Linked DNA regions of Diceros bicornis minor. The main gene of each other region encodes a partner of the protein of the gene in region 3 in a complex. Links are inferred from orthologs where the notes say so. Each region holds a gene or a part of one and is shown on either strand. Other genes may lie near its edges. The genes, in order: STON2, AP2A2 and EPS15.

Evidence for each region.
Region 1: the proteins of EPS15 (region 3) and STON2 are in contact, whole or in part, in an NMR structure (PDB 2JXC), measured with the Homo sapiens proteins. The link is inferred for Diceros bicornis minor from reciprocal best matches to the Homo sapiens genes EPS15 and STON2. Residues at the interface, in NP_001972.1 of Homo sapiens: Leu139, Gly148, Lys152, Pro153, Val154, Leu155, Leu156, Asn157, Ser158, Lys159, Val162, Asp163, Leu165, Gly166, Arg167, Trp169, Glu170, His176, Gly178, Met189, Val192, Tyr193, Leu196, Glu197, Lys198; in NP_001353779.1 of Homo sapiens: Trp309, Arg310, Ala311, Thr312, Asn313, Pro314, Phe315, Glu318, Gln321, Asp322, Gln324, Pro325, Ser326, Ile328, Asn329, Pro330, Phe331, Phe334, Phe335, Glu337, Gln338, Glu339, Arg340.
Region 2: the proteins of EPS15 (region 3) and AP2A2 are in contact, whole or in part, in a crystal structure (PDB 1KYU), measured with the Mus musculus proteins. The link is inferred for Diceros bicornis minor from reciprocal best matches to the Homo sapiens genes EPS15 and AP2A2. Residues at the interface, in NP_031969.1 of Mus musculus: Asp629, Pro630, Phe631, Lys632; in XP_006536218.1 of Mus musculus: Phe442, Phe443, Trp446, Lys447, Asp487, Pro488, Val494, Arg511.

The regions. Positions count from the first base shown.
Region 1 is NC_080763.1:28,750,662-28,760,328, forward strand, and holds the start of STON2 (stonin-2), read right to left. Parts: upstream 4,745-9,667; 5' UTR 4,670-4,744; intron 4,475-4,669; exon of another isoform or gene 4,459-4,474; intron 1-4,458. UniProt on the Homo sapiens protein: Adapter protein involved in endocytic machinery. Involved in the synaptic vesicle recycling. May facilitate clathrin-coated vesicle uncoating.
Region 2 is NC_080770.1:1,111,903-1,122,446, forward strand, and holds the start of AP2A2 (AP-2 complex subunit alpha-2), read right to left. Parts: upstream 4,880-10,544; 5' UTR 4,794-4,879; coding exon 4,727-4,793; intron 1-4,726. UniProt on the Homo sapiens protein: Component of the adaptor protein complex 2 (AP-2). Adaptor protein complexes function in protein transport via transport vesicles in different membrane traffic pathways.
Region 3 is NC_080752.1:13,900,862-13,911,243, forward strand, and holds the start of EPS15 (epidermal growth factor receptor substrate 15), read right to left. Parts: upstream 4,807-10,382; 5' UTR 4,737-4,806; coding exon 4,704-4,736; intron 1-4,703. UniProt on the Homo sapiens protein: Involved in cell growth regulation. May be involved in the regulation of mitogenic signals and control of cell proliferation. Involved in the internalization of ligand-inducible receptors of the receptor tyrosine kinase (RTK) type, in particular EGFR.

The DNA.
Region 1 (9,667 bases), on a different chromosome or scaffold from region 3:
CCTCTCAAGGTACGCAGAATCCTAGGGAATTCTCCCGTTTCAGAAAACACACCTTCCAGGTGTCATTTGTATGTCAAATCTCAATTAGGAAAAGAGACTTTTCAAATCTCACTCACTTCATTTTATAGCTTGGGCCACCATGACACTTATTTTATACAAATTTAATACGTATAGAATTTCTAGTATATTCTTCCACGCTCCAATGGACCGTTTTACACTCATCTCACCTTGAAACAAATGTTGCAACCTGCTAGCCAGCACTCAAAATGTTGACCTTGAAAATATGTCATGCATTCACATGGTGTCTGTTATGCAGGCATATCACTGATTATCTGGACCCTGGTAGAGTTCAAACTTTTGCCATATCCAGGATTGAGAAAAATACAGTAAAAGAAAACAAACCCTATGTTTCATTTCTTGTGTCATGTTGTACATGCCAACATATTTTCTCCTTAACGTCCATTCTTGGAATGTTCTCTCATGACAGGAGCGGTGAGTCACCGTTAAGGAATTGTTGCGACTTGCTCCACCCATTAATAAAGCCACACCATGGGCAATCTTGGGTTCTCAGGGAGTTATTTATCTTGGGGGAGGGGGGGCTTGATCACAATTTGCATGATCACATGGTACAGATGTTTATGCATGAAGGTGACCTCAAATGAGGTGAGAAATTTCTTGGTCTGACTACTTTAAAATTCAGCCAATGTCCACCCAGTGAGCAAACCCAGCTCCAGAACAATTTAAAACTGGGATGACAAGAAGTGTGATGGATCAGGACTGGAATACACTGACAGGCTTGAGGAGAGGTCTGGAGCGAGGCAAAAGGGTATGTGCTCAATGACAGGATGGGGAGTCAGGGCAGAATTAGAGAGGGAGGGGATAAAGCAGCGCTTGTATGCTTCTCACTTGTATGAATCCGGGATATTTTTCATTTCCTCACTATGAGAATTACATCTGTAATTTAATATAAACCTAGAGACTCTTCCAGTCTCTCTTCCAGACCCCACTGCTCATGGCCAGAGTCAGCTTTCAGCAAAACTGCCACAGGGAGAATGCTTGGACCTTCCAGACTTTTCCCTCCTTCCCTTAGGCCCTTCTATTTAGTTCTTCCCCTCCACCATGTCTTAATTTCTCCCTTTAGTTCAGTGGTTTTCCAAGTGTGGTCTTTGGACCGGCAGCATCAGCATCACCTGAGCACTTGTCAGAAATGCTAATTCCCAGGCCCACCCCAGACTTACTGATTCAGAAACTCTGGCGGTAGGGCCCAGAAATCTGTGCTTCCTCAAGCCCTCCAGGTAATTCTGATGCACACTGAAGTTTGAGAACCACTGCTTTACGTATTAAAAAACGATAACTTTAAGATGAGAGAGTCTGTGCATTTTGGGAGAAGACAGAAAAAACACAAGTCACTCAAGTGCCTAGTGAATCATTTTCTAGTAGTGGAATCTCAAGTCACGTGACAGTGAGAGAGAGAGATTTGCAGCTGCTCTATTAGTTCAGACCCCCATCATCTCTTGCCTTCAGTCTCATCTATTTCAATCTCCCCACATTGCCACTAGGGATGTGTGCTCGGCCTGAAAATCTGACCAACCGTGTCAAACCCCACTTCAAATCCTTCAGTGGCTGCTCCTTGCCCATAGGATAAAGTTCAACTTCCCTGGCACACGACCCAGGGCTCTTCATCATCTGCCTTTGGGAGGCCTCCCTGGCCTTGTTTCCTTCTGCACCTTCCCTCCTACTTGGCCATACCTCACTGCCTTTAGGAGGCTTATACCTCTCCACACTACTGATATAACGTTTGGCCACGTGACTTACCCCCGCCAACAGCACGAGAGCTGAAGTGACCTCTGCTACTTCTTTTTTTTTTTTTAAAGATTTTATTTATTTATTTTTCCCCCCAAAGCCCCAGTAGATAGTTGTATGCCATAGCTGCACATCCTTCTAGTTGCTGTATGTGGGACTCGGCCTCAGGATGGACGGAGAAGTGGTGCCTCGGTGCGCGCCCGGGATCCGAACCCGGGCCACCAGCATCGGAGCGCGCGCACTTAACCACCAAGCCACGGGGCCGGCCCTCCTCTGCTACTTCTAAGCAGACGTTAAGTGCCATAGTTTTCTTCTGTCATGTTCTCTTTTTTCCCTTTCCCATAAATGAGATCAGTCTTGTCCCAGAAAGAGGTTGTTTCTCAAGCCTTAGTGGGTCCCAGAATGAAGACAGATGAGGAGCAGAACCAAAAGCAACCTACACTGGACACACAGCATACATGAGAAATAAATCTTGGTGGCTGAAAGCCACTGAGATTCGGGGGTTATTTTGCCTACGATGACTATTATAGCACTTTTGATCTCCCAGATCCTCTGGAATGTCTTCTCCCCTCTGCTCTACCTTTCTTGCAAACCCACCTAAAGCCTGTCTGCACAAGAGACTTGCTCATCATTCTACACTCAGCTCAGATTGAGTGGTATCCCCTCAATCAAGTCTTTTTTCTTTCCCAGGTATAACTGATCACTCCCACCTTCTGGACCTCCTCTGGATGTTACAGATCTGTAACTATGTCCCTGGAACTGTGCTAGGGGCTTTCCATTCATTAGCACCACCCTCAGAACAACACCTCTAAAAAACCTTTTTTGAGTCTTCATTTTACAGAGAGACTTTGGCTCAGAAAAACACAGCAATTTGTTGAAGTTTCCCAACCATCAGCCACAGGGACAGAGCTCTCACCAGGTATGGATCTGGCTCTGAACTCAGCCATCTTTCCCCTGCCCCACATGCCTTTCTCCCTCCTCCAGCAGGAAGCTTCCAGACCCTCCCACTCTGGTGGAGAGAGTAAGTCTCCTTATCAACAACTGAAAGGGCTGCTGAGTTAATTTGACACTTGAAAGATTTGCATCTGGAAGTGGGCTTCTTACCCCCTGAGAAGATAATCACTTTCTCTAAGTGGATGCACTTATTCTAAGGCTCCTGGCAAATGCACTTGGAGACCCTAGGAGAACTAGGGCATTTGCTCTGTGCGCTTTTCCCACGTCCCAAGCTATGGGGGTAGTGTAGTGTGAAAAGACAGACAGATTCCTGCTGACGTCGCCCTATACAACCTTCGGGAAGGTCCTTTTGGGTTTGTCACAGGGTACGAGGTAAGTAGCAGATGGTTCAGAACTCCAAGCAGGTCTGCTACATATGATATTTTATTTAGATTTCAAAAAGAAAACTGAATGGGGCCAAATGTTTATTGGACTCTTCAGATTAAACAAGAAAAGTGACACAGTGGCAAAGAATTGAACCAGACCACCCAGGTCAGACACAGGAAAAACCGCTTAAAGTGGGAACTGCAATTTTAGGTTTCCACGAGCTGCTGGCATTTTGTTGTGTGGTTGAGTTTTTGTTTTTCCTTTTTTCTCTCTCACTTTTTAAACTTTACTTGTTTGTTTAAGGGAGGAGTAGACGATATAAGAACCTTCCAATATTTCCCCCCAAATCAGCCATACTAATGAAAGACAAGCATTCAACAAAGTACCACGATATTCTTTTCAAACAACATTCATATCAATTTTTTCAAGGGTTACAAAGCTTTTCTCAGCTATGAGTTGGAATCCATTATCTCTCACTATGCCAATGGAGCAGGTTTTTAGCCTTCAAAGGATATATTACCTTTAAATGATACCGTCAGTAACATTAATAATAGTATTTCCTTTCAAGTGTAGAAAGCTGTTCAGAGCTCCAAATGGTTGCTGGGCCAGTTTGGACACGTCTGATTTACCCTTTAAAAGACCTCCCACTCCGTAGAGTAAATAATAAGAGCCAGCCTTTATTGAGCACTTAGCGCTGTCCCGGTGTTTTTCAGGCACTGGCTCATTTAATCCTCAAAACAACGCTACCAGGCAGGTAAAAAGCATTATCGCCACACTCCAGATGAGGAGAGTGAGGCGCAGAGAGCATGAAGGACCTGCCTAAGAGAGAGAGAGACAGGCAGTGGCCGGTGCTGCACAAGACCACAGTTAATGATTCACTCACAGCCCTCAGGCAGCTCCTTTCAGTAGGGGCTGCACCACACACACACACACACACACACACACACACACTTCAACTCTCTCCATCCCGGCGAGAGGCGGGCGTCCAGCAAATTGCTTGGCAACGCGCATTTGCAACTCCATCCAAAGCCCGGGTCCGCCGGGTCCAGGCCGCCTCTGAGCGCTGTCCAGCGGGCAGCGCGCCTGAGAGGCCAGGCTGGAGTCCTGTCTCCGGACACCCCGAAGGTGGGGCAGGACGCCAAAGCCCCGATTTCAGGTACGGGGGGAAAGGCGCCGTCCCCAGGGACACCTGTTGCCCGCTCCCACTCGGGGCAATGAAGACGTCCCGGGGACCCAGATCAAGGGGAAGACACCCGTTGGCAGTGTCTATGCATGGGTGCGGGGCTCGCAGGTGTCTTCTCCCACCCCAGCCCCGCCCGCCCGACGCGGACTCACCCCCCCCTTCCCACTCTCGGACGCCCGCGGCTTGTGGAAACGTCGCGCCTCCCCGGGCTCCCACCGAGGCAGGCGCGGGGGCCGCGAGCGGCTCGGGGCAGCACCCGCGGCGCTAGGACCTCGCGGCCGGCCCGCCCCCCGCCCGCTCCACCTGCGGGCCCCTCCGGCGGGGCACGCTCGCCCTCCCGCTGCGGCACGGGGGCGCCGTTACCTGCGACGCCGCCGGCAGGGTCCCGAGTGCCGGCCAGAAGGTCGCCGCGGCACAGCCGGCTGGGCTGGTCCGGGAGCCCCCCGGCCGCCGCGCTCCCGCCACGCTCCCTCCCGGCCGCGGTGCAGCCGCCGGCTCCCGACTCCGGGCTCGCTCTGCGCCCGCGGGCTCCGGGCGCCGCTCCCGCCGCTCCTGATTGGCCGCCGCGCGCGCCCGAGCCGCGCCCTGATTGGGCAGCCGGCAGCCGGGGCGGGGAGACGGGCCGGGCGCGCCTGGAGCTGCTCCCCGCGCCCCGGGCGCCGCAGCCTCGCGTCCCTGCTGCATCCCGGGGCCGCGATGCAGACGCTGAAACCCGGATCCTGCCCCTCTGCGCCGAGTGGAGCCGGCGGTCCAGGCACGGGGCGGAGCGGAAAGCGTCGCTGCGAGCAGCACGGGGGTAGCGGGGAGTGGGGCTCGCTTTGGAGTCTCTCCCACACCCCCGTGGCAAGGCTAGCCGGCGGGGATCGTTGCTTCTCCGGCCTCACTCCTACATGGGATTTTGACTTCGTGTTCATTTTGATACTTTTACTGTATAAAGAGCTTAGGGACGCAGGGCAGTGGTTTGTAAACAGTGGGTGCCAAATTGTGCTTGTAGACTCAGACTGCACTTTACGCACCATCTCTATGTGGTCCAACCGGAGCTTGAAAAGGGGAAGTGATTTGTCCAAGGTCCTAATCACGTTAACAAACGATTAAGAACGAGAAAGATAGTGAGATCTTCATTTACAAGGAACTTAAGACCTAGCTAGGGAGATGAAGCTGAATAATAATAATAACTCTAACGTTTCCATGGTGCACTTTATTTGTTGGACACTTTTCCAAGTGCTTTGCATATATTAATTCAGAAATACACGAAACAGCTGTCATAAGCGTGTCCGTAAGTCCTGAGAAACGTGTGGACAAGCGACATCGGTTTGGAGTATGGAGAGATTTTCATCTGGAAGACACAAGCAGGGGCTGGCCCCGGGGCTGAGTCGTTAAAATGTCGGGCACTCCAATTGGGTGGCCTGGGTTCGTGGTTTGGAACCCAGACGCAGACATACGCCACTCGTCAAGCCATGCTGTGGCGGCAACCCACATACAAAATAGAGGAAGATTGGCACAGATGTTAGCTCAGGACTAATCTTCCTCAAGAAAAAAAAAAAGACACACTGAGTCTATACTGTGATAAAGAGGGACAAGTTAGAATGGAGAAGGGTTGTCAGGAATTAAAATTGTTCCCATTTTCCATCTCTTCTCCCATAGTCTTTAGTCCTCCCAACATTTTCTTCCACCTGCACCGAACCTTTCTAAAGAATAGAAACAAATACTGTGAATCAGAATGCCACCAGACCTTTTTCTACCACTCATAAAAGGACTCCCCTCTAAACACCCAGATAGACAATGAATAGAAACAAATAACACAGTTTATGTTTTAGAACTATGGAGTTTGGTTGCACTAACGTGTTGAAAGCAAGTACATAAGCATTTTCCTACAGATATTTCCTCCTGGTTCTATTCTCCTATGTTGACAGAACCTTTGATCAAGAAACTTAGCTTGGTAGAGAAGTAGTTAAAGACCCTAATGAAAACCAGCTTGACCCACTCTGAACAGCCTGATTTTTGCCCTAGAGTGAGATTAAAGTCATTTATTTTGAAGAGCCCAAGACCCTAGGAGGAAATTAGCTCAGTTTTCCCCAGTTCATATCAATGGGCAACCAATCGATCCACTCTCTATTGAAAAGATGGACTAGGCATGGGTGGGGCCTCACCTGGTAGGGACACCAGAGCACAACAGACTGTGTGAGGAAGGTTCTTCACCAGCGTCCCTCTCCAAGCATCAGAAGCACATGGAGACATCAGCCCATCACTCCGGTTGCTCACTTTCCATAGCTGTGGCTTTTGCCAAAGCGGAAGCTCCATTTGGATTGGTCACAGTATCCCTCCAAAGAAGAAAGGCTCTTTCAGCCAGAGAACTAGGCTGACCCAAGATGATTTCTTAAATAGATAGACCCTGGTCACATTACACTAAACTCTGCTGTCTGGAAGGACAAGAAGAGAAAGAAGAATCTGGATCCCACCATATCCACTCTGGAATCTTCGAGAACTGTTTATGTATCCTTCTATCTCCTGTCTCATCTAGCAAAATGATTTGCTTAGCTCTGTCTCCTGTATCACATTTCTTCTCTGGCGACTCCTACTTAGCACTCAAGACTCAACTGGAATATCCCTTCCTCCATGAGGCCTTCACTAACTCTCCCGGGCAAAGGTAGCGATCCCACTGCCTATGTTATATCCCCATTACAGCATTGTAGTGATCGGTTTACATGACTATCCACCCAACTAGTTATCCCCAGTGCCTGGCCTATAAATGGAAGGTAAAAGGTACTCAATAAACATGAACTGATTGACTAAAATCGCTGACAGGCTAATAGGGTGGCATTAAGGAGACTGGGGCCACACCCCTATCCTGGTCAACAGGACATCCTCCAGTTCCAGGCTGGGTGGACATTTGGTGTGGGTCAAGGTAATCATCCATCCAATCCAATAGTGAATAGGTAGTTTCTGTATGTCAGGTACTGTCAGAGAAAGAGAAGAATAATTCTCCCTTAAATGTACACAAGATAAAATGGTGCAGCTGATTTAGAAAACAGTTTGGCATTTCCTCAAAGAGTTAAACGGAGTTACCATATGATGTAGTAATTCCGTTCCTAGGTATATACTCAGGAGAATTAAAAAACATATGCCCACACAAAAACTTGTACATGAATGTTCATAGCAGCATTATTCATAATAGCTGAGAAGTGCAAACAACGTAAATATCCATCAACTGACAGATGGATAGACAAAATGTGGTACATCCATATGATGAAATATTATTCAGCCACGAAAAGGAATGAGTAGTGATACATGCTACAATGTGGATGAACCCTGGAAACATTATGATCAGAGAAAGAAGCCAGACACAAAAGGCAACATATTGTGTGAGTCCATTTAGATGAAATATCCAGAATAGGCAAATCTATAGAGACAGAAAGCAGATTAGTGGTTTCCAAGGGGTCATGGGAAGGAAAAATGGGGAATGACTGCCTAATGAATATGGGACTTCCTTTTGGGGTGATGAAAATGTTCTGGAATTAGATAGTGGGTATGGTTGCACAACTTCGTGAATATCCTAAAAACCACCAAATTATAAATATATATATATATATATATATATATATATGTCCACAGCATGCATTCTGAGAGTGTGGCAACTATCAATGAATGAAATGTTAAACTCTAAAGTATAGTAGCTGAAAGTGTGGAAAAACAGAAAATCCTTAGAAAACAATTAAAAATCAGCTTGTCTCCCCCTCATGCTCCCGCCTTCAACAACCCAGAGAAGACTTACTCCTTGATCTGCATTGTCCAATTGAACATTCTATGATGATGGAAATGTTCTCTATCTGAGCTATTTAATATGGAAGCCACTAGGCACACGTGGCTGTTGGACACTTGAAATGTGGTTGGCGCAACTGAAGAACTGAATTTTAAATGGTATTTAAATTTAAATAGCTACTCTACTGGCAAGGTAGCTTTTGACGGTTTCGAGGACTAGAGCCATCTTAACTGGCAGTTTGGAACAATACCGGAGGGCATGGGAGCGGGAGAGTCTATGTCTTTATGTCCCACAGCCCAGCTCGACTCTGTACCCACTAGAAATCCTTCAATAAGATCTCACTGGTCCCACCTTCTCCCTTCTATGAACTCTTAATGAACTTTGTCAATGATACAGTGCTTAGTTTTGTTTTTATGGCAAGGTGTTTCCATTCCACAAATATCTGTGGACCAAGCACTGTGTGGACTTCTGGGAAGAAAAAGGATTGAAGACAATGTCAGCCAAATTCCAAAGGGTTGGTTCTGACAAGGCTGAGAGGGAGAAGGGACAAGAGAAATCCCTTACAAGGACCTGGTTCCTTCCCTCCAACATCCCCCGCTCACACACACACACACACACACGTACTCTTCCGAGTGGGAAATCTTGCTATTAAGATGCTGAAGTGATGGTGAAGAATCTTTATTTAGATTTCCTGTTTCCAATTCAACCCCAGAAATGTCCTTAACTCCTTCAATACACCTTTCAGTTCATGTTGATCTTTCCCTTCTATGAACTTGCACTGAACTTGAAATCGATAGAATGTAATGACTTTCTAAGTGTTCTTCTGTAATGTGGTGTCCCCACAGCAAGATTCATTTGTTGCACAAATGTTTATTGAACTCCTGCTTATTTTTGTGCCAGAACAGTCCTAGGGACTGTGGATAAAAAGAATGAAAGACAGGGTCACTGGACAACTTAGAGGCTAATGAAGAGGCACACAAAGGAACCGTTTGACAGAGTTTGGGTTAGATGTGTAGGAAGGTTCACTGAAAGCGCAGGCCAAGGAGCACCTGGGTGTACACAGAGAAGTCAGGGAAGGCTTCTCAGAGGAGGTGACATTTGAACTGAAGGAACTTGGAGGGTAAGAGTTTTTAAAACATTTTTAAAAAATTAATTCATTTATACTGTCCACCTTCCAAAATTGGATTTGAGGTAGCATGTCAGGAGAAGTTTGGGGACAAATGTTCAAAAGATTGTATTAACATCAAGGTCCAGCTCAACATATGTGACAACATCTTGCATTGCTGATGAGGGTACTAACTGGACAGTCACTCTTGCTGCCCTCAAGGCCTATTCCTGAGAGTAAAACAAAATAAATACAAGACTCTCTGATCCCAAGGAGTTTAAAATCTCTCAACCATACTATTTCAATACTCTTTTTACTGGTCTCTTGTGTTTTTTCTTATTTTCTTCTATTCCAATGTGTCCCAAATTTCAGTCATCTGTGTCCCACCATCACCATTCTTACCATATCCATGTATCACCTGCACTATTATGTACTTAATTGTTTCTTTGCTCAGCTTTATTGAAAAGGAATTTTCATATGATTATCAACAAGGAAA
Region 2 (10,544 bases), on a different chromosome or scaffold from region 3:
ACCAAACTTCCTTCCTCCTCCGGCTTGGTGGTTCGTCCCTCCCACACCCTCCATCACATACTTCCTAAATCAGGTTCTAAGGAATATAAATTATGTGTAAGAGTACAAAAGAAAATATGCAAGAAGAGCATTCTTTTTCAAAAAGTCAGCATTTTAAAAATGTACAGTCAAGGCTAAAATGAACCTTAAATTTTTTTAAGAACCTTAAAAGTTAAAAAATAGACTGACAAACTCTGATTCTGATCTTTATTACCACACAGGAAAATCAAGTAGTACCAACTTTACACTTAATTTTTATACTGAAGTTTAAGCTGAATTTAAATTTTTATGTTCAGTTTCTCCTTGTCCAATTTATGACTCATTACAAGTGGAATTTTATGAACAAATAAAATTTTTTAAACTTTAGTCATGCTAAAATATAATTCAAAGGGGTGCCCAATTTCAACCAAGTTAACAGAAAGGACCAAGTTTTGTGAGAACCACAATGAGCAGAGCAGTGATAATTATTCTAGGAGTTTATCAATGCGCCTGCAGAAAAATTGCATGCTTTCTCCAAGAACATGGGAAATTCGATTTTTGCCAAATGGCTAATTGCATCTCTCCACTTGTTCCCCTCATTTGAGTGAGTGCCAGGAGTGATTAAATAAAATGCCTCCAAGCACCATGGAAGTGTCTTGACTCATCTGCATAGCCCCAATGCCCACCACCATGTGCAAGGAGGAATAAATGGCAATTTCCTGCCCACTGGCCACGTGACTGGTCTCACAAGAATAACCACCTATCTCTTCTCCCCTTTCATAGTAGTCCTGATTATTTTGCAGTCAATTCTGAGTCTGACAATATTTTCAGCAGTTTTATGTTCTCTACAATATTCTAGTGTTGGCATAAAGACATGTTAATTAAGTTATATATGACTCTCCTTCACTGATAATCACATGCATAAAAGCAAACAAAAGTTCCAAAATAACTGAATAAACAGCAAATAACTATTATTTTCCCAATTTCAGCAGTTCTTTCGTTTTCTTTGAATCGACTGCCTGAATATAATGTCAATCAATGCAATAGACTGGATGGATGTCAAGGTGACTGTGCTGAGTGAGAAAGGCCAATCTCAACAGGTCACATACTACAGTAGTTCCCCCTTATCCGCGGTCTCACCTTTCCATGTTTCAGTTACCTGCCGTCAACCGTGGTCCTCAAGTATTAAATGGAAAATTCCAGAAATAAACAATTCACAAGTTTTAAATTGCACACCCTCTGAATCATCCCCTTGTCTAGCAAATCCATGCTGTATACACTACCCGCCCATTAGTCCCAGTCATCAGGCTGTTGTGGTATCGTGGTATGCTTGTATTCAAGTAACCCTCAGTTTACTTAATAATGGCCCCAAAGTGCAAGAGTAGGGATGCTGGCAATTCAGATATGCCAAACAGAAGCCGTTAAAATGCTTCCTTTAAGTGAAAAGGTGAAAGTTCTCTACTTAATAAGAAATAAAATCATATGCCGAGGTTGCTAAAATCTACAGTAACTTTCATCACAGTATGTTGTTATAATTGTTCTAATATTATTTACTGTTGTTAATCTCTTACTGTGCCTAATTTATAAATTAAACTTTATCACAGTTATGTATGTATAGGAAAAAACACAGTATATACAGGGTTCGCTACTATCCGTGGTTGCAGACATCCACCAGGGGTCTTGGAATGTATCCCCCGCCCCGCAGAAAAGGAGAAACTACTGTATACAACTCCATTCACACAACATCCTTGAGATGTTATGTAGATAGAGAACAGATGGAGAACAGATTAGCGGTTGGGGGAAGTAGGTTTGGCTATACAGGGTAGCACAAGTGGGCTGTGCTGTTATCTTGATTGAGGTGGGGGTTACACAAAGCTACACGTGATAAAAGTACAAAGACCTACACACACTCGTCAGTGCATGTAAAACTGGTGAAATATGAATATGCCCAGTGGACTGTACCAATGTCAGCTTCCTGGTGTTGAAACTGGACTGTTATGTGAGACGTCCACCTTAGAGGAGGCGGGGTGAAGGCTGCTGGGACCTTCCTGTCCCTTTCTTTGCAACTTCCTATGAACCTATATTTATTTCAAAATAAAGAATTATTTTAAAACTGGGACTAAATAAAAGGATTAGAATTTTTTTTAATACCAATTAAAAAAGAGAGAGAGAGAAACAGTTTACTAACTCCCACACGCTGAACTCACATTAGCGGAATTCAGTGACCCCTGGGCTGAAGTTAATCAGAAAGGATCAAGTTAATTCTACAAGGCACTGAATTAGTTCACTACCTGAGCCACAAAAGCTACAGGCTTAAGCAGAAAGGCATGGCACAGGCACCTTTTCAAATCCTGGAGCATGTTCATTGCTGCCTGTTCTAAGAGGAGTAACATTCCCAGCCAGTAAGCTGGGAACGGATTACTAACTTGAAGTGCAAATAAATGCAGAGCATGCTCTTAGAAGGTCTTAAAGGGGGAAACTTAAGAAACTAGCTTAGAAAGGTAAAAAGGGAGCTGCAATTTAGAGCTGAAACAGACTATAGTGATACCTCAGCTCAAAATCCACCCCTCTCTGTCAGTTGAGGAAACTGAGGCTCAGTGGCCGGCGGGTTCCAGTCATGGAGCCAGTGAGAGGCTGTCGGAGTGCAACCCCCTGCTGCCAGCTCAGTGTTCTGTCTCCAGAGCCTGGCTCCATCGATCACCCTCACAACAAGAAAACAGTAAGCACACAATCAGGGACAGGCAGTGAAAGGGGAAGCAAGGACACCTCTCCCTGCCACACAGGGGTCAAGCTCAGACCAGCTCTGGCTGGGGTTCACTTTCCAAACCCATCTCTAGCCACCGGCCCACACTTGCTTAGAATGTTAATTCTCTGCTGTTCCTCACACATCTTAGCCCTCTGCCTGCAGTGCCCTTGACATAAAATTGGCCTAAGAATCACCTCCTAGATGAAGTCTTCTCTGGCTCACCCATCTATTCATTCACTCAGCATGTGTCTCGTGCCAGACGCTGTGTGAGCAGGGGCGGAGTGACGTGACGAGCAAGACAGACGTGGTCCCCACCTTGCAGAGCTTACAGTGCAGTGGGGCAGAGCACCACAAGCTGACGACACTGCTCTGCAGAGCTACAGGTGAGGGGGAGCCGGACATTGAGGCTGCAAAGGTGTTTCTCAGGAAGGGGCTGTAACAAACAGAAAGCTGGCCAAGAAGGACCACGCACTGCTTCTTCTTACATACGTTCCTTCAGGGGAGAGATTGTCTTGTTCACTGATCTACACCAATGGCTCTCAACTGGGAGCAATTCTGCCCCGCAGGGCAACGTCTGAAAACCTTTCTGGTTGTCACAACTGAGGCATCCAGCAGGTAGGGACCAGGGACGCTGCTAACCACAGGACAGCTCCACACAACAAAGAAAGATCAGACCCAAATGTCAGCGCGGGGGTGGAGAATGTCCCATCTCCACAGTCAGTCAACAAGTGTCTGTGAGTCCTCACTATGCGGCAGGCCCCTTCCAGTGAAACACAGACCCAGCACAGAACACACGTCTAATACATGGGTAACTGGCTGTCTGAGAAAATGGGTTTCAATCTCAATGCCTTGCCCAATGCAGTTTTCCTCCAAAATGGAAGGACAGACGTCATAGATAATTGAAGGCTGCTAAGCAGTAGCACGCACACACTTAGCTCTGCAAGATGCACTGTGAGTATAAAAACTATCGTCTCGAAAATTACATTCCATAGTAAAGGAAGAAAAAAAGGAGAATACTGCCCCACTTGTAAAAGCCCTGATCTGAGGGTGTGTTCCTACACTGATTTCTTGCAGAGTAAGGGAAGGGCCAGAGGGTCTCAACTTCCACGGTCCGGGTTCTCCACCCCAGTCCAGGGAGGTGAGGGGTTCAGGGGAAGGCTCAGCAAACAGCATTCACCAGTAGGCGAGGCTACAAACATTCTTCTAAATAGACATCAAACCTAAGGCGGGAGACAAACATCAGAGCCACCGATCTGGGGGGTAACAGGGAAAGAATAAAACACACCAGACAGGAAACGGGCTCGGTGTTCATTTTTCTAATTAAATAAAGAGAACATTTCTGAAAACCAACAGGAGTGTCTGCACACCAAAGCCATATTTCCTGGTGGGCCAACCGTACCCCGGGGCCCGATCCACCTTCTGGCAAGCATTCTTCCACCCTGAGGGAACACGCGTGCCGCTGAGAAGGCCTCCCCGACGGGACGCGGCGGGCACCGCTGCCCGCGAGGCCGCCCCGCGCCCCACCGCCCGCGCCCGGCCCCTCGGGGAATGAATGAGTCACTGCATTCGCGGCGCAACGCGCCGCAGAACCGGGCCCCGGGCCGCGTCCCCGCAGGACCCCGTTCCGCTGCTCCCACCCCAAAGGAAAACCCGGGAAAGGCTGGGTTAAATGCTCCATTACCAGAAAGACGGAGACGGCCCGGGATGACATCATGCGGGGAGGGGCGTCTCCGCGGAGCCCCTCGGCCGCGCCGCCGCCCCGCACCCCGCCCCCGCCGCCCCCGCCGCCGCCGGGCCTCGCCGCACCCCGGGACCCCCGCCCCGCACCCCCGGCCCCCGCCCGCACCCCGCCCGGCCCGCCAGGTCCGCGCCCCGCGCCCCGGACCCCCGCATGCACCCGGGACCCCCGCCCGCACCCCGGCCCCCGCCCCCGCAGGCCGGCCCCGCGCCGCGGCCACTCACAGTTGCGGATGTCCGAGATGAAGACCGCCAGGCCCCGCATCCCGTCCCCCTTCGACACGGCCGGCATCTTGGCCCCGGGGAGCGCCCGCGCTGGCGGGCCCGGGAGGAGGACGACGAGCGGGGAGCAGCCGCCGCCGCCCGAGGAGCCGCCTCAGCCGGAGCCGCCTCAGGCCCCCAGCACCGCTTCGGGGCCGCCGCCGCGCGCGCGCGCACGCACGTACGCTCGCAGACACGCGCACGCGCACGCTCGCGCGCGCGGCGAGAGACGGCGGCCGGGACGGGCGGGGCGAGAGGAAGCGCGCGCGCGGCCGCGGCGCGGGGGCGAGCACGTCGAGGGCGGGCGCGTGAAGGACTGCGCGGGGGCGCCCCCTGCAGGCCGATGCCCGGGCGGGGCAGCGCTGGGATCCACGGGTTCGCGTCCCGCGGTCCCTGGCGGCCTGCCCAGCTGGGGGCCCCAACGATCCTGCCCAGCCCAGGGGCCCCCACGGCCCTGCCCAGCCAGGGACCCCACGACCCTGCCTAGCCAGGGTCCTAGGGCAGCTTGCTGCCGGTGTTGGGGGCCGGTCTGTGTCCAGAGCTCTGAGGGCCTGTGCACATCACCTGGGCTGTCCAGAGCCAGCCCCTTCTTTACAAAGGGGGAGGCTAAAGCCTGAAGAGAAAACACTGCCCACCTCCAGCCCTGGCATCAGATGACCGCAGGGCCCAGACTAGAATCTGATCCCTCAATGCCCAACCAGGGCCTTTAACACTGTTGCCACCACCGCCTCTCCCAGCAAGGTGGAGGCAGAGGATGGCCCCTGTGCGCCCACCCCGCAGAGCACTGCAGGGGCCTTGGCCTGGGGCAGACCCCTAGGGATTCTGTTTGCAGAGCAGGCGGCCCTGCCGAGCTGAACTATATGAAGCCAGATGGCTTTGAAGAGGAAGCTCCCTCCTCATCGGGGTTATCCAGGCCCTGTACCTAGAGCTGGCCCAGACCCACGAGCAAGACGGCTGTCCCACCCTGGCTCACTTCCTCAGTTCCCAGTGAGAGGTCAGGCCTGGGTGGGCCCCTCCCACAGACCAGGCACCCCACCCAGACACCTCACCCAGGTTCTGGGCCTCCGGGACCCCTGGGGGAAACCACAGCCCGTGGAGACCCAAATCCTTATAAGGCAGCAATTTCGCCACTTTCCAAGACCTTCCAAAGAGCTGGGCCAGCAGAAGGCATCCTGGAGGAGGGGAGACCCCCAGGGCCAGAATCCCCATGCCAGGAAGTAGCCCTCCCACAGCCAGCCCAGGGGATTCAGACAAGGAGACCCCGACCCACCCCCAACAGCCACTCACACGACAGGGCAATGCCTGGAGGCTGCAGGGCCCACCTGTGGACGGACAGGGCCCAGCTCAGCCTGAGATGGAGGGTGTCTCGAAGGAAGAGCTTGGAGCTAAGTGGGCATCCCACCTCCTCTCAGTGCTGCCTGGGCCTCCCAAGCCTCCTGGGATTCCCACAAGTGTAGGGGTGGTGGGCAGGTCCCCAAAGCCTGATGAGACACACAGGCCACCATGCAAAAGACCCCTTGCCTCCCATCGGTGCCTTAACCTTCCCAGACATGCAAGCCCTTCAGGTCGCTTATTACCATCAGGCTTCGGGCTTCTGTCAACGCGGCCCTCCCTGACCACGGCCACTCCTCAGTGAGGGACAGGCTGCCTCTAGCAGTGTGCAGTGCTTGGAAACAGTTTCATTTCTTAAGTTGCCTGAACTAGGCATCTGTCACGTTTTAGCCACTCGTGGTCACAGCACTGTTCCCAAGGGCAGGGGTGGAGCCGAGATTCTCTTTTCTCCATCCGTGAGCATTGGGAGGTGAGAGCCCCACACACTAAAGCCTAACACTTGAATCACGAAGGAGAAAACGAAGGCTGGGGAGCCCAGAGCCTACAGCGCACGAGGCCACGGTGTCTGGGGCATCCTGAAGCGTTAGCTGGCTGTGTCTCCACTCCTACCCAGACCTGAGCCTGCTCAGGCCTCCTGTCAGTTTTACAAGTGACCCAGTTTCCTTCCCATAATCTCTGGAGTGGGTCGCAGACAATGACTCTTCCAGAAAATTGGGGTTGGCAGCCTGGTCTAAGCGTGGCTAGAGGCTCTGAGCACCCATGTGTGTTCAGGGACAGGGATGTGACAGTCTTTGGTGCTCCATGGCTACCTGTGGTCGCCAGGAATGACATGCTTGGGGAAGGCCAGGCTCCGGAGACTGAGCACGTCCCCTGCTGTGGATGGTGTGCAGAGCATGAGGAATTCAAGAATCTGTGGTGGGTTCATTTTCCTTTTTTGCGTGTGTGAGGAAGATCAGCCCTGAGCTAACATCCATGCCAATCCTCCTCTTTTTGCTCAGGAAGATCGGCCCTGAGCTAACATCTATTGCCAATCCTCCTCCTTTTTTTTCCCCTTTTCTCCCCAAAGCCCCAGAAGATAGTTGTACGTCATAGTTGCACATCCCTCTAGTTGCTGTACGTGGGAGGCCGCCTCAACATGGCCGGACAAGCGGTGCGTCGGTGCATGTCCAGATCCGAACCCGGGCCGCCAGCAGCAGAGCGCGCGCAATTAACCGCTAAGCCAGGGGCCGGCCCCCTGTGGCGGGTTCATTTTCGAATGAAGCAGGACCACTGAAGAAGGAGAGTGATGAGCTCAAAGTCCTAACTGCTCATCTCAGGGTGGCAGGAAGCTGCCTGACTGCAGATCTCATCTCTGACAGCCACAAAACTGAGCCCACGGCCACACACAGTAGAATTTGGATTGTTGCGAAATAGCCACAGAAGTTGAATCTATGGCCTCCTCAAATGTCTTACGGGAAAGCTAGAGTGCTGGCGGGGCATGCGTGGGGCCAGGAGAACTGGGATGGTGTACGTGGGACAGACTGGGGGACCCCAACTCTGCTCCAAGAGGCAAGAGCCCCCTGGCCAGCCTCCACAGCCCCTTTTCCCCATTGGACAAAGTTGTCCCCATACTTGAAGACCCTGTAATGACATCCCTTGAAGGAGTTGCTTTGTAAGAGAAAAGTCAGTTCCCTTTAAAGACCACTGGCCTGGCCCCATCCCTTGAGACCTGGGAGGGTCAGGTCCCAACACAAAATCACACACAGATGGGGAAGGCTTAGCTGCCATGAGAACTGCAGGCAGTTGAGTTTATGTCGGCAGAGCTCTGCAGCATTTACATAGGATGGCTTCCGAGAGAGCAGGCCTGGGACAACAGATCTGTCCCATGGGGCACCCAGCAATCTGGGTCAGCTGAACCAGCTCGGGCAGCCAACTGCCTGGAAGCTGGACTCAGGGCGGCACATGTTAAAACAAGGTTGAGATGGCAGAAATTCCTGGATATAATGCAGAGAAAGGAATTCAGAGATTTATTCTCTCCCAGTCCTGGAGGCTGGAAGTCTGTGATCAAGGTGTGGGCAAGGATGGTTCGTTCTGAGGCCTCGCACCTTGGAGTGTAGATGGCCGTCTTCTCCCTGTGTCCCTTCACACCGTCTTCCCTCTGTGCACATCTCTCTCTCTCTGTCCAAGTTTCCCCTTTTTACCAAGACACCAGTCATTTTGGATTAGGGGCCCACCCTACCCCAGTATGACCTCATCTTGATTAATTACACCTGCAATGACCCAAAGTAGGTCCCATTCTGAGGTGCTGGGGTGAGGACTTCCACATGTGAACTTTTACGCGACACAGTTCATGCCATAACAGATGGTGACGTGAGCGCATCTGGGGACCTGATTTTGAGTCCAGCCCCTTTTCCATCCTACCTCCTTGGAACAGGGTTTTGGTAGTTGGAGCTCTGTCTCGAACTGTGAGGATGAGCACCACACCCTCCACTGTGGGGTTGGTTGTGGCTAGGGGCTCTGTTGCACACTGCCACACCTAAATCCTAATTAATACCTATTCCCATGCCCAAGGGTGCTGGTCATTGAAGTTTCTGGGCCTCTAGGGGCCTGGGGCATGTCAGGATGCCCTCCTATCCTATCTTGTGGCTTGTCATCAAGACCACTTTGCATCCACCCACCAGGGCTCAAAGGGGCTTAACAAGGAGGAATGTAGCGGGTGACACCTGGGGAGGGGTGGAGGAGACGGCTATGAAAATTCTGCTGCCCTCCCCCGCCATGCTGCCAGATCAGGCATCCTATTCACCCCTAGAGCAGGGACTCATGACCTCCAGTCTCCCTAAGTTACCTGTTGAAAAATACACCCCTTGACCTTAAAGGCTAGACCAGCCATGCCAGCAGCCAGCCCGCTGTCCATCACTGAACAGACCTCGTGGTTTTGGGTGTTTTGTGGCAAGGGCTTCCATCCCAGGCCAACATCCACCCACCACAGCTCCTTCCTCTAAGAGCCCAGCCAGGGTGAGCTGATGGAATATATGCCAATTTTAAGATTAGCCTGAGAAAAATAGCTTTAGGAAAGAAAATATAGCTAAAAATATCAGTTCAGGCCTTTCAGCACGACTGTAGTAGTTTCCTGGGGCTGCCGTAACAAATTACCACAAAATGGTGACTTAAAAACAACAGAAATCAATTCTCTCACAGTTGTGGAGGCTGGAAGTCCAAGATCAAGGTGTCGGCAGTGTTGGATCCCCCTGGAGGCTCTGAGGGAGACTGTTCCTTGCCTCTCTTCTGGCTTCTGGTGACTGCCAGCATCCTTGGTTTGGGGCTGCATGGCCCCAGTCTCTGTCTCCATCTTTCCTGCCCTTCTCCCTTGTGTCTGGGTGTCTCAAATCTCCCTCTCCTTCCTCTTAGAAGGATCCCAGTCACTGGATTTAGGGCTCATCCTCAATTCAGGATGATCTCATCCCGAGATCCTTAATTACATCTGCAGACACTCTATTTCCAAATAAGGTCACCTTCACAGGTGCTGGGGGTTAGGACATGGACAACCTTTTGGGGTCCACCATTCGCCCCACTACAGCCTCCAAGAAATGCTGTCCCTTTGGCCTCATCAACACATATACTGCCCCTCTGCTTTGTTATAGGGGTATTATAAGGTGGGTGGTGTGTTGTGAGAAGCATAAAAGCCATGACTGATGCCACAAAGCACACAGCCCTGTGCAGGGCCACCTGCCTCTCGCAGACACCCACCTCAGGGCCCAGCACCTGCCCAGCCACTGACCAGACACCTACATGCCAGACAGCACATGGTGCCCAAGGCATAGCCGTCACCCTGGCCAAGGCCAGACGGGCGGGGGGCCCCCACACATGGGACACAGACAGAAAATCTGCTGTGCTGGCTCTGGAGCTATAGCCGGAAGCTTCTGCTGCACGTGAGCATGCCCCGCTCCCTCTCTCTTCTTGCTCTGGACTTTGCTTATCCAGCACCCAGGGAGGATGTCTCCAGCCACAAGCAAAGGGAAGGCTCAGCAGCAGGAAATCCTGATGTGTATCCCTCTTCCTGGGCTTCCGGCCTCCAGACAGGAATGTTTCAAGGCCCAGTAGTGATAGGACACAGTCAGTGATAGTGGCCTCCTGGGCCCTGCCCTTGGGACAACCCCCAGCCGAGGCCACCCTGTTAATACAGGACGAGTCACGAGTTGGCCCTGCCAGGAAGGGCCTTGCCTTGTGCTGACTCAGCAAATGAGCAGAGGCCCAGTGCTGCCTACGAGGCCAGGGACCCCACCCTCACTCCATCTGCGGAGCATTGCCCAGCCAGGGGAGACACAAGCCCAGCCCTCAGAAACCCCACAGCCACCAAGCACACCCAACAACCAGATGTGAGTGCTCTTGGGGTGTTGGCCATATAATGTGCTCCCCATAATAACTCAGGGATGCCCTCAAGGCTGTCCCGGAAAGGCAGCCTCAGGCTGGG
Region 3 (10,382 bases):
TCCTGCCTTTGGTTGCCAGAGTTCCAATTTTATTAAGTCCAAAACTCACAAAACAAAGAATTGTATAAACTGTGTTTATTAATTCCTTGAAGAGTAAGTAAAACACCTTAGATTGAGCCCTTAAACCAGACTATTAGTGACAGCGCAGATTAGAACTATGATTCATCGCTAAATAAAGAGGCTCAATCTTTTTCTACTACATGTTAGTCTGTTACTATCACTGTGTCTGCAAATAAGAGTGAAAACAAAGGAATACACTCTTAGGTTATTCCTAGGAGATGGTCTATTGGACAAACCCAACTGTTCCTAATTAATTTTAACTGTGACAACTCCTCCCGAATGTAGAACATTCCAAGCCATTTTTGAGAATGGTTAGATATGGCTCAAGGAAGCACGGATTTCCTGAGTACACCGGAACGTAATTGCAGGCAAAAATATATATATCATTATTGTGCCTTTCACATAATAGGAAGTAAAATGTCATGCTGAATAAATAATCCTTTTCTGCTTCTGAGAACATGTTGTAATTTTCATACTCCACCCTATATTTACTGTCATAATTGTTAAACCAGATCACTAAGGTGAAAAACATTTATTAACACACATTGTGTACTTTTTTTTAATGAAATTGAAAATAAACACCAGAAACTGTGAAATTATGGGACATTTTTCCTCCAATTTCCAAATTTTCTGTAATGCAGTTATATCACTCTTGCAATTTAAAAAAAGGGTTGGGGCCAGCCCCATGGCGTAGCAGTTAAGTGCCCACGCTCCGCTGTTGGCTGCCCGGGCGCGCACCGAGGCACAACTTGTCACGTCATGCTGTGGCGGTGTCCCATATAAAGTGGAGGAAGATAGGCACAGATGTTAGCCCAGGGCCAGTCTTCCTGGGCAAAATTTTAGAGGAGGATTGGCATGGATGTTAGCTCAGGGTTGATCTTCCTCACAAAAAAAGAAAAAAGAATTAAAAAAAGGTTAAAAGGAAATGTATTCTTATAGTATTGTTTCAGACCATATACTAAGATTTTTAAAATTAAGTCCCATTCTAACGGCTTTTTCATTATTAAAAAAAAGAATCCTTGCTAATTAAAACAAAAGTTCAGCATAAAGCTGCTGGAAGATTATTTTAAAAACTTATATCATGCCATATTTCAATAAAATAAAACCTTTATCATCATCAAGAGCTCTACTTGCACACAAACAACTGTATTGTTAAGATACCATGAAAGGCATTGGAGACTCAAGCAAAAGATATGGCTTCTATCCTCAAGAAGTCTACTACCTAATTAGGACAACAGGGCATATACTGAAAAAGAGAATCAAAAATTCAAGGGAGCACTGGATATGCCAAGCATCTAGTACACAGAGAAGTACAGTGAAATAGCTCTTGAAGACCTACAGACCTTGGTTCAAATTTTAGATTTACCACTTACTGGTTTATGTAAATTACTTCCCCCATTTGCAAAATGGAGTGTTAGATTAAGTGAAGTACAATTCCTGGCAGAGAGTAACTCCCAAAGAGAAGCTAACAGTATTATTGTTATTATTAAGCTTGAGGAAGAAATAGGCAATTGGAAAAGTTTAAAAAGTATTAATATCTTTTTTGTAATCTACCACCATAAGCAAAAATCACAAGATCGTTCTCACTCAAGTTTTACTTCTTACTGACAAGAAGAAAACAGAACATCTAGTGAAGACAACTGAAATTAGAAAACAGTAAGGGTACACAGCAAAGTCACCAACAGATCTACAAATTATAGAATATGATCTATAAGAAGGAATGTTAGTTGGAAAGGTCCTTGAATCAGCTACTAGAATGTAAGCTTCATGTTTTGTTTGCCTCCAAGCTCTAAGAACTGGTATCTATTTTGTTTATTACTATATCCTTAGTTCCTAGAATAATGCCTAGCACATGAAGAATGCTCAACAAATATCTGTTGAATGAATATTAAAAGTTAAGAAAACTGAGGCCTGGAGATTTAACTCCATGCCATACAGTTAGCTCTTGGCAAAGCTGGGGCTGGAACTAACATTTCATTTCTCTAGTGTTCTATCCTCTCTAGAAGCTAGAATATGAAAATTTAGATAATTTACTTTGGTGGTTGGGGAGTTGGAGGGTTGACTGGCAGGCAGAGGAAGGAAGGAGTAAATTAAAATATTTTCACATTTTTCCCCCAACTGTCAGTTTTGCTTAATAAAAACAAAAAATCATCAACAAGACAATCCCAGCACAGCGCCTAGCACATAATCGGTCCTTAACAAATACTTGCTGAATGAATGAACCTACTCCAAAACCATCATTATCTCATGACCAGAGGCAGAAACTAACTTCAGCATCTGTTTAATCTTTCTAACTGTCATAGAGCCCTTTAAAATTTTCAGTCAATCATAAGACAAAGTCATTAATCACTTTCTTCCAGATGGGCACTGACGGGAGAGAGATGAATTAAAAGGGGTCCCTGCCCTGGAGGATCTCTCACTTAAGTATGCCTATGTCTAAGGGTATTTGTTGGAACCGGAGGGGGGGGGAGGGCGCGGCCGCAGCGCGACAAACACAGATCAATAACGAATGTGAAACCAGGTTGCATTGCTATCTCAGTTTATTTGCCTCAAACAAATTTTTTAATTTAAAAATTTTTTAATTTAAAAAATTAAAGTAAAAAAACACAAATCAACAAAATTTTAAAATAACGAGGCATATTATAGTATAGTAACACTTGGAAAGGTTGTTTTTCCTGTGCCTTTACAATATATCTTATTTCCTCTTAATGTCTTAAAGTCAAAATATTTTAAATTGACTTTTTGAATTATTAATATAAATGAACCATCAAGGTATGTTCTCTCATATGTGAGACATTTAATGATAATACTCCTGATTCAGTATTTACTCTGTACATGTTAATACATAACCACAGGAATATATTTAAATTATTTAACTGTCTATAAAACTGACAGAGCCTGAAGAAAATCTCCAGAGATAAATGACAGTAATTAGAAACTAAAAACACAGTATTACCCAGAGAATTTATGCACACAACTAAGAAGCAAATCTACAAAAGTCTTCAAGAGAACAAAATCTTCAAGAAGGGAAAACTCCTGCCCAACTGACCAACAGAGCCAGACAGCAACAGCCTGCCAAAGGGATCTTATTTAATGCAAGTCACTAACTAGACTCGTAAAGTGAACACCCAAAAGTCAGTGTTCCCATTCCTCCAACTTGAGTTTCAGGAGGGACCCTTCCAAAGAGATTCACAACCAACACCACATTCCAAGAATTCTTCCCCCTTACCTGCTTGTCAAAAGAGGATAAGCAACACCAAACAAACTGCAAAATAGACTCCACTTATGAGTCTGATAATTCCTGCAAACTCAAGTTAGCTATTTCACCTGAGGCACATGTTTAACTGTGACTCCTGGTTTCTGGGGAGAACATTTTTCACTCAGTCTCCCTATCCTAGAGTGCTAGGTGAACCTCCCCAAAGCCTCTTGATCCTAACACAGACAACTCTATGACCCAAATGTATACCCTATCCCACTGTTAAAGCCTTAAAGCACTGACAAATCCAGGCCAAAGAGACTACAAAGGGGCAGAGAGATACTACCAGGCAGGCAGGAAGGTTGGGGTGGGCCCAAACAGGGAAGTACATGGCCACCAGCTGTGGAAAAAAGAGGATGAGAAAGTGAGAGGCTGGGGTGAGTTTGGTCAGAGAAGCGGCAAGGGACTGACGGGGACTCCTTATCACCCTGGACATCATGGGAAGATTGTACTGGGCTTTCTTTGCAGGGAGGGAGGAACGAGGCTCCCAGAGCGAGTGATGTAGAGAGGCTTCCTGGGAAGCACAAGGACTGGACTCTGAAGGAAGCAACAGGAAACCCCGAGAACAGATTCTGGTGAAGATTCCCCCAGGACGAGTGATCTCTACGGTCGTTCCCAGCCCCAAGACCGGTGGAACCATCACACCTGTTAAAGGATGTTTCCCTGTTATCCGCTTGGATAGCGATCAAGTGCGAGTCCACCGGGTGGGCGTGAAAGCAAACTTGAGTAGGAAAAAACTAATAGGGGGTCTGACCCAGAAGGAAACCTGATCAGGAGAAGAGGCTCAATTCGGGAAAGAGCTAGCAGGGAAGTACCTGGGTGAGATGAGACTTTCCTGGACGAGAGGCGCCTGGAGGAAACTGCTGGGGAAGGCAGGGCTTTCGTTGAACTCCAGGGGGAAAAGGCCGGTTTAGACAGGAAAGAGGGGGCCCTGAGCGTCTGGCTCGGGAGGGTGACTCTCACCGGGGGAAGCGCGCTGCCCGGCCCGGAGGGCGAGCCTCGTGCGGGGCGAGGGCTGACCCGCGGGTGAGGCTGCTCCGCGCGAGCTCCACAGCTCACCTGGGGTGCGGGCCTGGGATCAGGAAACTTCCTGGGTGGGGGAAAACTAAGTGGAGCGGAGCGGGGACCCCGGGGCACGCGGCACTCAGCTGTGGGGCGCCAGGGCCGGGGGCGCCCCCGACCCGGGCGGGGTCGCGGCTGCCGCGGCGCAGCTGCCGGCTCGGGATGGCGCCCTCCCTCAGTCACACGCACGCTCTCGCTCTCACTACCGGCCGCCCCGCCCGGGCCGAGAGAACCCGCTCGGGTCGGTGAACCGCAGGCGGTGGGGGAGGGGGCCGGGCCGGGGACAGCGGCCGAGCGAGCCCGGCGGGCGGGCGGGCGGCGTTACCTGTGTCAGGGAGAGCTGGGCCGCCGCAGCCATGGTGTTTCCATCATGCACGGCAGGGGAAGGAAGGACGGGCGGACGGGGGCTCGGGGCGGGGAGGAGGCGGAGGGAGCGGCCGGAGGCGAGGCCCGGGCGAGCGGGCGGGCGTCTCCCTTAACTTCGACAACTTCCCTCCTCTCGCCCGCCCCGCCTCGCCCCTCCTGGCCCCGCCCGCCCGCCCGGCGCAGGCCGCGGCGGCGCCCAAATTCTGGCGCCGGCGTTTCCGCCGCCGGACCGGAGCTTGTCCCCTGGGGCAGCCTGGGAAAACCCGGCGCGGACGTCCAATTAGGGCGGACTGGCTGCGGAGGCGGAGGCGACTCTGGATTGTCCTGTGAACTTTAGGCAGGTCACCTACCTACTCTAAACTTCTGCCTCTGCCAAGTGGGGGAAATTATACCGAAAGTCCAGGATGCTTGTGAGGATTAAATGAGATAATGATAGAAAATAATAAAAGGACTTTATGGCAGGCTCTGTGCTACACGCTTTACTTTTGAATTGTATGAATGGAAGGAATTGAAACACAAATAAATTGTACAAATGAGGAAACTAAAACACAGATTAGGTCATACGGTTTATTAGATAGCCGGATTAGAATCCAGGTCTGACTCCAAAACCTTTCATTTAACCATCTGCTATTAGGGTGTGATATTGAAAAAGTCATTTCCTCCAGGAGCCAAAAATCTAGGTGAGAGAGAGAAGAAATACTTTCCTTGCCTGCTTGCCGCCTGCCAAAAGAACCGAGGGCGGGGGGGCAGCCCGGTGACGCAACCGGTTAAGTAGGCGCGCTCCCCTTCCGCGCAGCCCGGGGTTAGTTAGCAGGTTCGGATCCCAGGTACGCATGACGCACCGCTTAAGCCATGCTGTGGCGGCGTCCCATATAAAGTAGAGGAAGATAGACACCGAGTTAGCTCAGAGCCTATCTTCCTCCAAGAAAAAAGGGGAGGATTGGCATCGGATGTTACCTCAGGGCTAGTCCCCTCATAAAAAATTTTTTAAAAAAAGAGCACTGGGACCTGCTCAGGTGCCTGCAGCACTCCTAACTGCTCCCACAGTTCACCTGGCAAACTCCTCCTACTTTGTCAAGGAACAACTCAAGTATCATTCCCTTTGCAAAGCATCTCCCGACCTCCCCAAGTCAGTCACACACTCTCCTCTTCTTTTTAACATTTCTTCCCTACCTTCTGAAGTCATTATCACCTTAATGACTGTTTACATCTGTCTACCCCTCTAGACTGAGAGCTCCTCAATGGCAAAGACTGTTTCTGATATATTTCCATATCCTCAGACCCTAGTATGTGGCATGTACTCAATAAAGGCCTTAGTTTCTTTCTTTTTTTTTTATTTTATTTTATTTATTATTTTCCCCCAAAGCTCCAGTAAATAGTTGTATGTCACAGCTGCACACCCTTCTACTTGCTGTATGTGGGACGCGGCCTCAGCATGGCCGGAGAAGCGGTGCCTCAGAGCGCACGCGGGATCCACACCGGGGATCCGAACCCCGGGCCGCCAGCTGCGGAGCGCTCTCACTTAACCGCTAAGCCACAGGGCCGGCCCATGGCCTTAGTTTCTGCCTGTGTTAATCGTAACACAGCCTACACTTTCTCACGCTGCCATCTGCAGTCGGACTAACCAACCAGTCACTTGGAACTCTCATCTTTACAGGCTTGGCATATATGCCACCTACTTCAAGCAGCCTTCCAGGAACTCCCACCTCACCTCTTAGTTGTTCTGATACGATCCTCATTATACTCTGCCTTGTTTCTACGAGTTAGTTGAGGGCTTTTCGTTACCCCACTAAACTGTAGAATCCTTGAGGACAGGGGGATGACTCACTACTATATCCTTCTCACAGCTTAGACTAGCATAGAGTAGGCTTCAATAATGTTTTTGCCGGCTGGCCCCGTGGCTTAGCGGTTAAGTGCGTGCGCTCCACTACTGGCGGCCCAGGTTCCGATCGCGGGCGCGCACCGACACACCGCTTCTCCGGCCATGCTGAGGCTGTGGCCCACACACAGCAACTAGAAGGATGTACAACAATCTACTGGAGCTTGTGGGGGGGGGGGAAGGAGGAGGATTGGTAATAGATGTTAGCTCAGAGCCGGTCTTCCTCAGCAAAAAAGAGGAGGATTAGCTTGGATGTTAGCTCAGGGCTGATCTTTCTCCCAAAAAAAAAATAATAGTGTTTTTGCCAAGAATTGGTCTTCCTTTCTCAGTCATGGTAGCTTCCCACAACAACAAACCACAACTCTATCAGGCCCTCACCCGTTTCCATTATCATAGCAGTCCCCACTTGACGTACCATGAGGGCCAACTGAACTAGGCCCAGGATGGAGTTAGCCCCACCCAAGTTTTTAGACCTTTACCACCACAGGCAAACCATGCCAGAAATGCCGCCAGAACCCCATGATTCTACTTAGACCCCTTTTACAAGGTCCAGCCACGAAGAGCCAGACATGCAGGTCTGGTGAGCAACCACTTATTCAAGAGAGTCTCCCTTGGCGTCTTTTTGCTGTTATTCTTTTTAACTCAAGGGAGAAGGGGAGATACTGTTTTAAATTACTCCACCTTGGTACATTTATCACCTGTAACCACAACTGATGTTTCTACTTGACTTTCCTATTTTAGATTATCACATTTGAGCTTCACAACAACACTGAAAGGTAGTAATCATCATACCCACTTTACAGATAAGGTAACTGAAGGTCATAGAGGTTAAGTGATTTGCCCAAGGTTATACAGCTAATAACCAAAGCAGTATAGTGTAGTGGAATAAACAAGGCTTAGACAACAGAAACATCCAGGTTCCAATCCCGGCTGTACCATTTACCAGCTGTACAACCTTAGGGTTGTTCTGAGGATGAATGAGATAACATATATGAAAATACCTAAAGATGTAGATACACGAATTTAGTTAAGAAATCCGAAAGTCATGGAATAAATTGCTAATGGAGTACAAATTCACTTGCTATTCAAGGAGACTCCTCCAAACCATATGAGATACAAGATATTACTCTTGGGTGAATAGAGGGAGTCCCTGGTGTACAGAGGTTCCTAGAAAGGCAGTGTGGGGTAGTAAGGAGAATATTGGAGTCACTTAGTGTATGATCTCAGACAAACTCTTTAACCCATTTGAACTTCAGTCTCTGATGTGTAAAAATGAACAAATCATTGTGGAAAATGTTGAGGAAATATAAGAAATTGTTATTGTTATAATTATTGTGTGATGTAAAGTTAAAAACAAGTTGTATTTATACAATATTGCTTTTCACAGTTTATAAATGTTTTTACATACAACATCTAGTACAACTCGTGGAGTCAAATAGGTACATGATAAAAGTCTGTTGAACGGAACTGAATGTATAGTCTCATGTGTAGCTATTTTTTGGATCCTCATTTTATCCCCGTTTCACAGATAAGAAAACCAAGGAACAAATATTTTATAAATAACTTGTTTAAGTAAGGGCCACTTAAAGCAGGTTTGGGCCTTGCTGAAAATAATAGTAATGATAATCAGACTCCTCAGCAAGAGAAGACTAGCTAAAAATCATTAGATGGGAATTGCCCCAGGCCCCCTTCTAGACCCCCAATAATTTGTACTGGCTTCTTTCTCTGCTCATTGGTTCTGGTTTAAATTAGAAACTTAACATGTAGTGGGGGATGGGAGTGATGGTCCAATCTCCCAAAAAGGCCTAGACCTTCTGGAACTGAAGTTTTTTTAATGACACACCAATGACAGATTGCAAATGCATGTCCCAGATCTCATCAAAGCACTGGGTCATATCCCAAATCTAGTTTGAGAGAGTAAAATGTAGCTAATAGAAGATATGTTATGATCTAATTCGTTATAACAAGAATGAGCTTCACGAAGCAGAGGAAAATGACTCACCTGTTTTTTCTAGGGCAATTTAATGTCTCTGGGTCTCTAAGCCTCATATTCCTCATGTGTACATTGGAGATGATAATACCTTGTAAGGATGGTGTAAGGACTAGAAATCATGCATGAGTGTCCTGTCATAGAGCCTGGCCTGGAATAGATGTTCAATAAGTGGTAGTTATAAGGACACCATTCTTCTAGATCAACATTTAACTCTCTACCCCTCAGACAACTCTACAATTGCTAAGTCAGTTGTGCAGATACATTGGCTATAAGAAAGGAGTGCCTTGAACAGCTGACACACACATCCCTGTCATTGGAAAGGTAGATGTTCCCTACGTAAGTAAAGTTGTATCTGATGACTTAAATCTGGATACTGATAACCACCACTAGCTGCTTTCATATGTGTTATTTCATTTAATCCTCCTGACAACCCTATAGGGATTATTATTAATTTTGTTTTACAGAAGAGGAATTTGTCCAAATTCATAGTCACAAGGCTAGGAATTATACATAGATCTGACTCAGATGTGCTTTTTACTAGGGCATGTTGCTAGAGTCCTACAGACGTTGATCACCCCCACGAAGACTTGATAAAATGGGGCTTTGGACCAGGGAAAGCTGAAGATGAGGCTCTGGATTTCTAATAACCATAAATGCAAAGATGATCCTGAAGAGGAGAACTTAGATCATGAACAGCTTGGTCAACAGCCTATCTTTCCATCTTTCTATCCTGCTCTAACTCCCACTCCCTCTCCCAACCTACCCTTATGGGAAACCACGGCTACTTTTATTTCTTTATTTTCCAACTTTTGGAGGTGACTGTCATATCAGCTCTTTATGAACACTACATGTCTGTGATGTCAGCATTTAGAAATGCAGGATGATTAATTGAAACTATGGAAAAAAAAAAACAACTGTGAAGAGCTGTCTGAATATACAAAGAACCAGGTTATTTGCATGAGACTTTGAGAAAGGCCTTCCACATAAATGGTGCTAAGCTCCCAAAAAAAAAAATGATACTACAATTGTAATGGTAATCTGGAGCTCATGCTTCCAAGCTGCTGGTTTCATAAATATAGCCCATTATTGTTCATGTTTGCCCGGGGCAGAAAGAATATGTGAGGCTGCACAATAATAACAATTGTGCTGCACAAATAACTGTCCTTGTGCCAGGGACTGAAAAGAACAAGCAGTAAGAGATTTTTAAATGCCACACACACCCAGGGTGTGATAGGACAGTTCAAAATTGTCGTCATCACTAATTTTTTAGGGCAACAGGGTGTCTTGGGAAGAGCCTGAATTTAGATCTGGGAAGGCCCAGCTCGGTCCAGTCTTGGCTCTGCAACTTCCTGGTTTTGTGACCTTAGACAAGTCAATGAACTATACCAAGCCGTTGTTTCCTCTCCTATAAACTGACGGTAATAATAGCACCTACCTGATAATGCTATTATGATGATTAAATGAGGTTTCATGTGAAAGCAGTTAGTCTGATACTTGACACACAGCAGATACTAGGTAAGCGTTAGCTCCTTTTTTCCTACTGGAGAATATTTAGGTTTAAGAAGACAGAAATAAAACAGGAATCGTTTTTAAAGATCTTCAGTCATTTACCAAAGCCTACTCTAATGGTTTTTTGAAAAAAAATTTATTCACCCATTAGTAATATTTATTGAGCTCTATAGAATAAGGGAGATTATTACATTTATGGCCCAAAAGTTGCATTGGCTTCTACTGAGCAAGCAAATGCAGTTTTACACTTGTCCTAT